Linked DNA regions of Ovis aries. The protein of the gene in region 2 interacts with the protein of the main gene of each other region in a biochemical or structural test. Links are inferred from orthologs where the notes say so. Each region holds a gene or a part of one and is shown on either strand. Other genes may lie near its edges.

Region 1 (2,950 bases), on a different chromosome or scaffold from region 2:
AACTCTTCAGGCAAGAATACTGGACTAGGTTGCGTTTCCTTATCCAAGAGATCTTTCTGACCGGGGGATCGAACTCACATCTCTTGCTCCTCCTGCATTGGCAGGCAATTCTTTACCACTGTGCCACCTGGGAAGCCCCCTAGGTACTCTATATGAGTATTTGTGTCTGTATCTGTTTTCCTCTAGTTACTCAAGTTTCTTCTTATTCTTGGTTGACCGCCTGCCAGTGCATATTTGTAAACATGTTTGTGTAATTTTGTGTTTCTCTGTCTGAATTTGTGTCTCTGTATTTGTGACCAAGAGTGCTTGAGTTTGTCCATTAATTAAGGAGTCTGTAAAAAAAAAAAAAAAGAGTCTGTTACTTTGGGAAATAGGGAGGATCTCTGTGTGACCTTGTGAGTATCTATGTGCTTATTTCTCACTAGGGGTTTCGTCGAGTCTGGCAAGTCCGCTTTTCTTTGTTTGCCTGTCCTTGTTGTCTTTGAATCTGTTCACATCTACCCTCTTTAGTGAGGGGAGAACTCCAAGACCCCACGAAACCCTCCTTTTTACACAAGCTGAGTTGCCTGGGAGAAGGGCCATATGACAGCCAAGTGGAGACAAGAGGAGACAGAAGCATGGTTACAAAGTTTTATGTGATCTGAGCCCCACTGGAGGTGCCAGGGTTCACACTCTGTTCAAGGGGCATAAAGGACTGGCTCGGGGGCGGGGGGCAATATGGCCCCCAAAAGAGGGATATTGTCCTCTGGGGAAAGGAGGCATCTTTATTGCATTGCACAGGTTTGAGGGGGCACACCCCCAAGTGAAAGGAAGAGGAAGCAGAGGTGGCTAAGAAGGGAAGGGTCACACAGGATAAAACTATAAGGTAAGAACCTCAGAATTTTACTTTAGAATTCTAGACCTTTAGAATCTTATAACATGCGAATCTTGGAACTCAGAATCGTAAGACTTAGAACCATGAATTCCTAGACCCTTAACTAAAATCCTAGAAAGAGAAGATGCAGCATAGAACTTAAAGGTGTCCAAAATTAAAAATGATTAGAACTTTGGCATCCAGTTTGTCACCACTAACTGTGGAATATCTATACCATAGATGCTGAGGATCCAGAATCTTGGACCAACAGGATCTAGAGTGCCTTGGAACACAGAACAGAACAACATTAGAATCTTAGAGTTTAATAATCTAGAATCTTGAAGCATATGATCTAGAATCTTAGACACAGAGACTCTAGGTTCTTAGACTAAGCCTTAGAACATCACATCTTAGAACATTAGACCTTAGAAGAACCTCCATCTTTAGACTATTAGAACTTTTGAATTGCAGATGCTAGCATTTTAGATCTTTAAGATCCACAGTCTCATAACAAGGGTTTCGAGGATCATAAAGCCTTAGACTCTGTCACTGACCATCATTAGAATCTTAGAACTTGAGAAGATCAAATCTTGTGGCTTATGATCTGGAGTCTTAAAACCAGAAAAGTTATACTCTAAGAGGCTCAGAACTTCAAATTTTAGAACATATGACCTTAGAACCTCCATGTCTAGAACTGTAGGATTTTTAGAATTGTAGGATCTAGTATCTTACACCCTCAGGACTTAGAACCCTAGAAAAATAAAATCTAAAATCACAGAGCCTTAGATTCTAGAAATAGAATCTTAGAGCTTTGTAACCTAAAATTTCATGGGCTTTATGAAGAATCTCAGGACCAGAAAAATCTAGGGCCACAGCATCTCAGAGCCTTAGAATGTAGGCCTTAGAACTTCTGTGTCTAGAACCTTAGCACTTTAGAATTAGAGACTGGAATTCCAAGTCTTTAGAATCAAAGACTCAGCTCTGAAACTCTGAAACCTCTGAATCTAGACTCTTTAAACCTTAGAATCTAGAATCTTGGAATGTTAGACCTGGGAGGGCCCTCAGGGATTTCAGTCCAATCCCCTTCTTTTACTCATGGGGACACTGAGGTGTGGAAAAGGAAGAGGATCTGTCTGGGATGGAAGTGGAACAGGTGGGAAGAGAGGGCTCTGATTGGGGTTAAGGTCTGGAGTGGGAAAGTAGGGGGCGGGTCCCCCAGTGGCAGTGCCTAGCTTGGGTCCTGAGAGGAAGTCCCAGGTGGAGGGTGGTCTCAGGCGCCGTCCTCCTGCCCTGGGGCTGCTGGGGAGCTCCTTTCAGCAGGCAGGGTGGGGCCAGGGGCTGTAGAAGGGCAGAGGACATAGCGGCCAGCAGGATGGACTTCGGCGGCGGTGAGGCAGCTGCAGGAATCCTTAGGGTCAGGCTGAGTTGGGGGGTCCGCTCCTCCAGCAGCTCCAAGTGGTTCAGAATGACCTCCACCCTCATCCATGTTGACGTAGAGGATTTCCTCCGGCTCCTGAGCAGGGGGCAGGGCCTTCAGCGTATTCTCCAGGTCTTCCCGCAGCTCTGCAAAACTTGGCCGGTCCCGGGGGTTTAGCTCCCAGCACCGGGACATCAGGGCATACCTAGGGCAGCAGAATGAGGGGTGGGACACTGAGCAGGGGCTCAGACAGGGAGCCTCCTGGGAGCTTGGCATTTTAGGACACTCGGGACTGAGGGCATTTCATGGGAGTGGAGGGAACTGTAGCAGTTTCGAGGGGGGCACCTATGGGGATTTGGGAATTTGCACAAGTTTCTAAGGGGAGTCCTGGAACAGACACTCAGGAGCTGGAAGATGTCTTGGGAAATCTTTCTAGGTGTGGGGTGATGTTCTAGTGAGGTTTTGCTAGAGCAAAGCTTCCCAATATGGCTTCTCAGGACAGACTCTAGCATCAAAGCTTTGCAAGCTGTGTTGGTTTAAAATATGAACTCAGGACTTCCCTGGTGATCCAGTGGTTAAGAATCTGCCTGCCAATGGAGGAGACACAAGTTCTGTCTCTAGCCCAGGAAGATTCCACATGCCGCGGGGCAACTAAGCCCACGTGCCACAACCACTGAAGC
Region 2 (4,265 bases):
GTCACACTCACACACGATCACAAAGAGCCTGGAGTCTGAGGGCCAGGAAGCGATGCTCCTCAGGAGAGACCAGACTTTCAGGAGCCGGGGCCCATGGGCGAGGCCACAGGGCTGCCTCACTCGACGTGCTCCTTTTCCAAAGGCTTATTAGCAGTGAGTTGTGTTTGCAGGGTCTCCCCCTGTCCTGGAATCCAGAACTTCTTCAATGTGAGGGAAAAGATGGCGTGGACGCCTGGCGGGGCATCTGGTTGACCAGAGCAGAACCGGACATGAGGAAGTCCCCTAAGCACCAGTCCCAACCCCCAAACCGAACTGGCTCCTCCGGAAGCCACCGCCCCTCAGTGAACGCAGAAGGCACCGGTCCACCCGGGAAGCTGGTGATAAGGGGAAAGGTGTGACTGCGATTTGGGGACGGGTCAGGAAGCAGGACAGGGTTCTGAAAAACCACAGGCGGCTTGGATGTACAAGGAGCCCACGCGTTCCTGACGGGGTGGATGGGGCGGGTGTGGGAGGCAGCTCCCCCGGGAAGGGAGGGCAGGACGCCGGGGGAGCGCAAGGCCCTGCGTGAAAGCCGCCGCTGTCCTTGCCCTCGTCTCACCCACTGCAGAGGAGGTTCCTGAGCAGAGCGTGGCCACCCACTCCCGTCTTCCTGCCTGGAGACCCCCCATGGGCAGAGGAGCCTGGGGGGCTGCCGTCCACGGGACTGCAGTCAGACAAGACTGAGCGACGAAGCGCAGACACGGCTGTAACAAGCCTGAGAACAGCTCCAGTGGGGCGGGGCAGGCTCTGGGGAGGGTGCGGTGGCCAGCGTGCAGTGTGTCCAGCCCAAGGCCTCTCTGTCCTGCAGGAGCAGCGCTGGTGGGGGAGGCGGCCTCACCGCCCGGTCACCTGCAAGCCCGGTCACCTGCAAGCCCCATCCTGTGCTCTGTAGGAGCCAGCGCTCCAGGCTGGGCCTGTGACTGGCAGGAACACACTTATCACACACCCCGTAGCCAGGCAGCAACCCAGGCAGCCAGCACACAGCCCGCATGGGACCTTCAGAAACGCTCCGCGGAGCAAGCTCCCGGGGGCCAGCAGGACAGGCAGAAGAGACGGGGCGGGGCAGAACTGCTGCTCACAACGGGCCGACGCACACCACTGCTGACCGAGAGCCACCGGTCACAGCTCAGCCCTGCAGCTGCGGGCTGTGCCAAGGCCAAGGAAGGGCACAGCTCGGCCATCGCCATCAAGCTTGTTTCACAGAGGGGACCATGGGGTGGGTCAAGCCAGCCAGTCAGGAACGTGAAAGCCTGCAGCCTTCACACTGATTTGCTTGCTGCACGAGATGCTTATTCCACCCCAGAAGAATTCTTTAAAAGAAATATTCCAGTAGAGCCAAAGACAGCTGTGAAATCATCCTGACCTCAGGGTGCGAAGCGCGGCAGGGTGAGCCCACCCCTCTAGCAGCTTCCCTGCGGGGGGCTCCCGGGCACACACCCCAGCCTCTGCCCCACCTAAGATGGCACAGGGCACCCAGGGCCACTCCCCGAGGCCGGCTGCCTGTCGCCCCACGTTCTTCACGACATTATTAATAGAAGCTTGTCCTGAGCCAGCACCTTAGGCTCCTGCAGTCTCCGCGGTTCCCAGGGCGCACCTTGCGGCCGCCTGGCCCGCCCTCCCGCGTGTGCCAGCCCTGCTCCGCCCTCCCCGTCCTCCCTGCCGGGACCTGCTGTCTTCCGGCACTCCAGCCCTCCGTCTTTGAAGCTAAGGCTCCCGCCTCTAGCTAGATAGGGAACTGTGGACAGCCCCACCCCCTCCTCTAATCTGGCCAAGGGGGCAGGGAGGCAGGAAGCTGTTCCTGCTCTCCAACCAGTTATTTCGTTTACGTTAAGCCGGACCCTACTGCTTTCTGGCTGAGCTGTCAGAGTTGCAGTTTCCCTCAAGGCGGCTGCCTTCCGAGGCCTGCCGCGGTAAGAGGCTGCGGGCGTCCACAGGACCCCCCGCGGGCATCGGCCGCCCCTCCTCCACGGAGGGGCACCTGGCATCACCGGGCGAACAGGGGCTCGAAAGGAGGAGGCCTGAGGGTGGCTGGGGCGGCGCACAGCGCCCTGCCCCTCCGCCGCCGCTGCCCTCCTCCCTGCATAAGGGTCGGTGTGCCCGCAGGAGGGTTTGCCGCAGACCCCCGGCTCCCGCACGTGCGCGCGCAGACGGGGGTCCCCTGAAGGGTGGTGCCGCGGGAGCGCGGCTCCAGGGGACACGCCTGCCCCGGCGCCCCGCTCGCGGCCCCAAGGCCCGGGGCGCACTCCTCGCCGCCCCGCGCGGCCCCGCGCTCACCGTCTCGGGGTCGTTCTCGAACACCTCGCGGGCCTCCTCCCGGCTGCACATCTCCTCCACGCACTCCCTCTCCAGGTGGCCCTGCTTGGCCTCCTCGAAGACCTGGTAGGCGCGGCGCTGCCTGGGCCGCAGGAACTGCGCCGCCTCGCGCGCCCGCAGCATCACGGCTTCCCGGGCGGGCGGGAGGAGCGGGGAGAGAGCGGAGACGCGCCGTCAGCGCGGCGGCGCCGGGGCCCGGGGCGCGCGGGGTGCGGACGCCGAGGCTCCCCTCGCCCTCGGGGGGGGGGTCTCCCGGCCCCGGCGCGCCCCGGGCCCGCGCGGTACTCACTGTGCGCCGACTCGGAGGCCAGCAGGAGCAGCAGCAGCGCGGTGCCCAGGGCGGCGGCGGGTCCGGGCGGCATGGCGCGGCGGGGCGGGGCGCGCCGGGGCCGGGGCGGAGGGCCAGCACTGAGACCGGGGCCGGGGGGCCGGGCGCGCGCGGTCAGAGCGCCCGGGGGGCCGTGGCGAGGCTCGGGCGCCGAGGGGCCGTGGCTCCGGGCATCCTGAGCGGGCGGCTCTGAAGGTCACATCCCGGCGGCGGCACCGCGGCGCTCGCGCGGGGCTGGGCGAGGGCGGCGGCGGGGGCGGGGCGCGCGGCAGGACCGGCCTCGGGGCCGCGCGGGGCGGGCGGGGCGCGCCGGCCTCTCCGGCGGGCCGAGCCGGTTTCCTCGGGAAGATCAAAGCCCCGAGGGGCAGCGGGTCTTCCGGACGAAGGCGGGGAGGGAGTGCCCCCTTCCCCCGCGCCCGCGCCCGGGAGCTTCGCCCCAGTCGCGGGTTACGTTTATGTAACCGGGCGGTGCGGGCGCGGAGACGAGGTCACGCGAGTCCAGCCTGTCAGGTACAGACGGACATTCACCAGCTCCCACCCTCTCCCCGCCCCGTTCCCCAGCCGCGCCCCAGATCTCCGCGTCCTTTCCGAAGACTTCATTCCGGGGCACGTACTCTCGAGACTATGCACCCACCAAAGGAGGGAGAAACTGAAGTCAAGGCGAGCCCCACTGGGGTCCAGGGAGCGAGATTAGAAGATGTGCTTCCGTACTTTCTGCTTTCACGGCGATGACGCTGGAAGACCTCGGGGGCTCCCAGTAGCTGTTTCAACCGAAAGCAGCGTTCTCTCGTTCTGGGAGACCACGACTTTCTGTCTCTCGTCCTGGAATATTTCGCAAAGTCACAATAAACACACACACACAAGCAACACCGAAGCAGAGCAGCCCCCTCGGGGAATCGGGGCGGGCAACCGGCGGGCGCCGCCTCGGGGGTCCAGACCGGAGCACGCGCCCGCGACCGACCTCCACCCCGACCTCCAGTCCGCACCTGCGCCCACCCCACCTTCCCTGGCGGGACATGAGCGCCGCTGGTGGCAGGTGTCTTGAGGTCAAAGGTCTGAAGGCGGCATAGTGAACGTGAATATCAGCGAAAGGGACGCTCCTCCAACCGCTACAGAGAGGATTAACACTTGAATAGCCCGCACTCTGTTCCTAGCCTCCCACGTCAGCCGGGACTCCACGAGCAGGGACTCAAAGCCGGCTTGGAACGGCAGGCGCTTACACAGAATATTGACCACGTTAATCTTCCTGCTTGTCCTGAGGAGAAGCGCTGCTGTCAAAAATCTGGGTGAGGCGGAAAATCCTTCAGTCGTGATTTACACCAGATCTTTAATCCGCTGGTGGCATTCTGTTATTGGAGGTCCCAGAGCTTCTTGGATCTGTGAGCTTACAGTTTTCATCGAATTTGGAAAAATATTTTGCCATTATTTTTCAGATGCTGTTTCGTGTCCCTCAAACCTCTCCTCTCTCCTGGGAATTCCAGTGGCACGGACGTATGGCTACTTAAATTTTCCCAGTGTTGCAGCCACGCGTTCCGGGAAACAAACTCACTCAGAAGGACAGTGCAGATAGCGGAGTGCAGTTTAT
Region 3 (3,644 bases), on a different chromosome or scaffold from region 2:
CAGGCTCATTGACCCTCATTTACAAATTCTAAAGGGTCTCTGTGGTGTCAGCCCAGCTCGTGCTACTGCCCCTGTCTCCCACAGGCCAGCAGGGTGCTCCCCACAGCCGCACATCCTGGGTGCCTGTGGTCCTGGGCGTGCTGACAGCCCTGGTGACGGCTGCTGCCCTGGCCCTCATCCTGCTTCGAAAGAGGAGGAAGGAGACACGGTTTGGGTAAGGGCTGAGGACATGGAGAGAGAGGCCGGCACTGACTGAAGACCTTGGAGCTGACTCCAAGTCCTGGGTCTCCTTTTAGGCAAGCCTTTGACAGCGTCATGGCCCGGGGGGAGCCAGCTGTTCACTTCCGGGCAGCACGGTCCTTCAATCGGGAAAGGCCTGAGCGCATCGAGGCCACATGTAAGTGAGTGGGGGGGAGTCCTACGAGGAAGGAATGGGCTGCCTTGAACCTGCACCTGCCTTTCTCTTACTGATTTGACCAATAGGTCTGAACCTTGCTGAGTCCTAGGCACACCATGGAAAAGACACGTAGACCTATCCTCGCAGAGGTCACCGGCCCAGCTGTGGGGGAGCTAAATAAAGCTTACCTCTGCTTTGAGGGTGGCGTCTGGGGTGGAGGAGGCAGGCTGAGTTTTGGATCAGGACCAGAGAGGTCGCTCCCTTTCTTATGACCGCCTCCCCGCAGTGGACAGCTTGGGGATCAGCGACGAGCTGAAGGACAAGCTGGAAGACGTGCTGATCCCGGAGCAGCAGTTCACCCTGGGCCGGATGTTGGGCAAAGGTATGTGGGGCTGAGCAGGGACTGGCCTGAGCTGCCAGGGCTGGGTGTGTCTGCTTGCTTCCATGTCACTCTGGGCTGTGGATATAGGTCAGCTCCTATAAACAGGATGTGCTCATAAACTCCTGGCTGCTGGACATTTAGGGGAATGGAGGCTGGGGCGAGAAAGGCTGAGGTGTCATCACTCCTAGCTTACTTTGTTTTGCTATGAATGAGGGAGCCTCCTTCAGTGGCCCCAGAAAGTGATACTGTGTCCCTATGAAGGGTCACTGGGGAGGTGGGTGGGGGGCAGGAGGCCAAGGGGACTCACCATTGTTTGGATCGGTTCCTAGGAGAGTTTGGTTCAGTGCGGGAGGCCCAACTGAAGCAGGAGGATGGCTCCTTTGTGAAAGTGGCTGTAAAGATGCTGAAAGGTGAGTGGAGAATATTACTATAGTGGAACTGAGGGTTTCACTTGGGAAGGTGAAAGGGGGCTGATTCTGAAGCAGGCTCTGCTGGGCCCCTTAGACTTTCCAAGATGTGTTAGTCAGTGCTAACTGGGATGCTTTCTCTGCCACGTGAATAATTCCCAGGCATAAACCCACTTTCCTTGGTGCCCCAGCCTCTGTCCTCTGCCTTAGCAGTGACTATCCTCTGGTTTCACTTGGGGTGACTAAAGCTGTGGTTGGTTGAGTGGTTTGGCTGTCCAAACCAAAGAGAAGGCATGAGCGAGTGGAGATGTTGGACAGACCAGCCTGTGGGGTTTCCTCCTGCTCATGACCAGACTGTTTCCCCACGCCCACGGTGGTCACGTCTCCCTCCTTCCCTCCCTCCTTTTCTCCCAGCTGACATCATTGCCTCAAGTGACATTGAAGAGTTCCTCAGGGAAGCGGCTTGCATGAAGGAGTTTGACCACCCACACGTGGCCAAGCTTGTTGGTGAGTCCCTTCTTGAGGGAAGTAAATGTAAAATGAGGCTAAAACTGTGCTCCTCCAAGGTGCTAGGGCAGCCTGTGGAGAGAAGCTCAGACTTGCCTGGTGAGTAAGCAGACACCAAAATAGCAAGGAGGGGCGTGGCTGAAATCTGATCAGGCTCCAGGTAAGGAGCTCAGTTTGTAGACCCTGTACATGAAGACTGCTTGTGTAAACAGGAGGAGGAGACAGAGAAGATGCTCCAGAGATTCTGGGGCAGCCAGAATGACTCCTGGGGAGTCACTGGGCCCAGTGTGGAACTTATGGGGAAAGAGGTAGCAGAGCCAGGGCTAGAGGTAGGACTGGCAGGCGGGGACCCAGGCTGATGCTTGGACTGTCCCTTGACCTTTATGTGCCCCGCTGACTCTCCCTTGTCCCCAGGGGTAAGCCTCCGGAGCAGGGCCAAAGGCCGTCTCCCCATCCCCATGGTCATCCTGCCTTTCATGAAGCATGGGGACCTGCACGCCTTCCTGCTCACCTCCCGGATTGGCGAGAACCCCTTTGTGAGTGCCTGGGGTGGGAGTGGCCAGGGGTTGGAAAAGCACAGAAACCCTGGGAGAGAGGTTGGCTTGGTGGGCAGGGCCGTTTGAGTAGGTTGGGAGAAGGCAGGCTCTAAGTCTGACCTTTATTGCTAACAGGCTTTCTTCTCCCTCACAAATCCCCACTGGGAATTGAGGCTTACCCAGGCCCCTTCCTGGGAGAGGAGCCCCGTGGGGGGCCCAGATTGGGACAGTCTTGACTTTTGGGTGCCCTCCCTCAAGTTTGCCAAAGCTTCCTTGCACTGGGAAGCCCCTCCACTCTCTTCCTTTCAGCAATTCTGAGGACAGTTGTTAGGTTTCCTGGTCAGGGAATCCCTTTCCTCCTGCCCTGGCTAGGTCTGTCCTGAGTTTGCTGTCCTGTCTGCCCACCAGAACCTGCCGCTGCAGACCCTGGTCCGGTTCATGGTGGACATTGCCTGTGGCATGGAGTATCTGAGCTCCCGGAACTTTATCCACCGAGACCTGGCTGCTCGGAACTGCATGTATGTGAATTCTGGAGGGTTCAGGTGGGAGGCAGGAAGCAGTACCAGGAAGAACTAGGCCCCGCCTGGAACAGTATCTGCTCTGTGAGGAGATGGCTTGGGGACAAAGACACCGTGGATTTAGTAAGGCTGCGGCCTGGTGGAAGGCTGACCCCACCCTCCAACCCCTCCCAGGCTGGCAGAAGACATGACGGTGTGCGTGGCTGACTTCGGACTCTCCCGGAAGATCTACAGTGGGGATTACTATCGTCAGGGCTGTGCCTCCAAACTGCCCGTCAAGTGGCTGGCCCTGGAGAGCCTGGCTGACAACCTGTACACTGTGCACAGTGACGTGGTGAGCAGGTGGCGGGGCAGTACTGTGGTTAGTGTGTGGGTGGACCTGGAGCCTCTCCCAGGCCTGGCCCACTCAGCCCTCTGCACTCTGGCTGTCCCAGCCTGAGGCCCCTGAGCCCCAAGATGTGCTTGCTTCGAGACTGCCTGGCCTAGGAGGCCTAGTGACACCTTCCCCCCAACCTCGATTCTGTCCCAGTGGGCCTTCGGGGTGACCATGTGGGAGATCATGACGCGTGGGCAGACGCCATACGCTGGCATCGAGAACGCTGAGATTTACAACTACCTCATCGGCGGGAACCGCCTGAAACAGCCTCCGGAGTGTATGGAGGACGTGTGAGTGCCCGAGGGAGGGGATCCTGGGAGGGAACAGGGGTTTGGGGTTTCAGCGGATGGCTACCACCACACCTGCTGTCCTGGCGGGGGCTGCGACCCTCAGCTGAACTTTTGTGGAAATACCCTTGTCATTAGAGGCGAGTCTGACTTCTACCCCAAACTTTCTTTTTCATCTACGACTCCTGTTTTCTTTCTTTCCTCCTTTATCATCCTATAGTTCTTCCTCCAGTC

Evidence for each region.
Region 1: the proteins of GAS6 (region 2) and AXL form a complex in vitro, tested with the Homo sapiens proteins (2 studies listed by BioGRID and IntAct, with this or other methods). The link is inferred for Ovis aries from reciprocal best matches to the Homo sapiens genes GAS6 and AXL.
Region 3: the proteins of GAS6 (region 2) and TYRO3 form a complex in vitro, tested with the Homo sapiens proteins (2 studies listed by BioGRID). The link is inferred for Ovis aries from reciprocal best matches to the Homo sapiens genes GAS6 and TYRO3.

Annotation. Positions count from the first base shown.
Region 1 is NC_056067.1:49,992,655-49,995,604, reverse strand, and holds the end of AXL (tyrosine-protein kinase receptor UFO), read right to left. Parts: intron 2,476-2,950; coding exon 2,124-2,475; 3' UTR 617-2,123; downstream 1-616. UniProt on the Homo sapiens protein: Receptor tyrosine kinase that transduces signals from the extracellular matrix into the cytoplasm by binding growth factor GAS6 and which is thus regulating many physiological processes including cell survival, cell proliferation, migration and differentiation.
Region 2 is NC_056063.1:86,165,805-86,170,069, forward strand, and holds the start of GAS6 (growth arrest-specific protein 6), read right to left. Parts: upstream 2,872-4,265; 5' UTR 2,715-2,871; coding exon 2,642-2,714; intron 2,481-2,641; coding exon 2,314-2,480; intron 1-2,313. UniProt on the Homo sapiens protein: Ligand for tyrosine-protein kinase receptors AXL, TYRO3 and MER whose signaling is implicated in cell growth and survival, cell adhesion and cell migration.
Region 3 is NC_056060.1:35,183,940-35,187,583, forward strand, and holds part of TYRO3 (tyrosine-protein kinase receptor TYRO3), read left to right. Parts: intron 1-84; coding exon 85-214; intron 215-296; coding exon 297-397; intron 398-683; coding exon 684-779; intron 780-1,108; coding exon 1,109-1,189; intron 1,190-1,600; coding exon 1,601-1,693; intron 1,694-2,107; coding exon 2,108-2,229; intron 2,230-2,637; coding exon 2,638-2,747; intron 2,748-2,921; coding exon 2,922-3,081; intron 3,082-3,276; coding exon 3,277-3,413; intron 3,414-3,644. UniProt on the Homo sapiens protein: Receptor tyrosine kinase that transduces signals from the extracellular matrix into the cytoplasm by binding to several ligands including TULP1 or GAS6. Regulates many physiological processes including cell survival, migration and differentiation.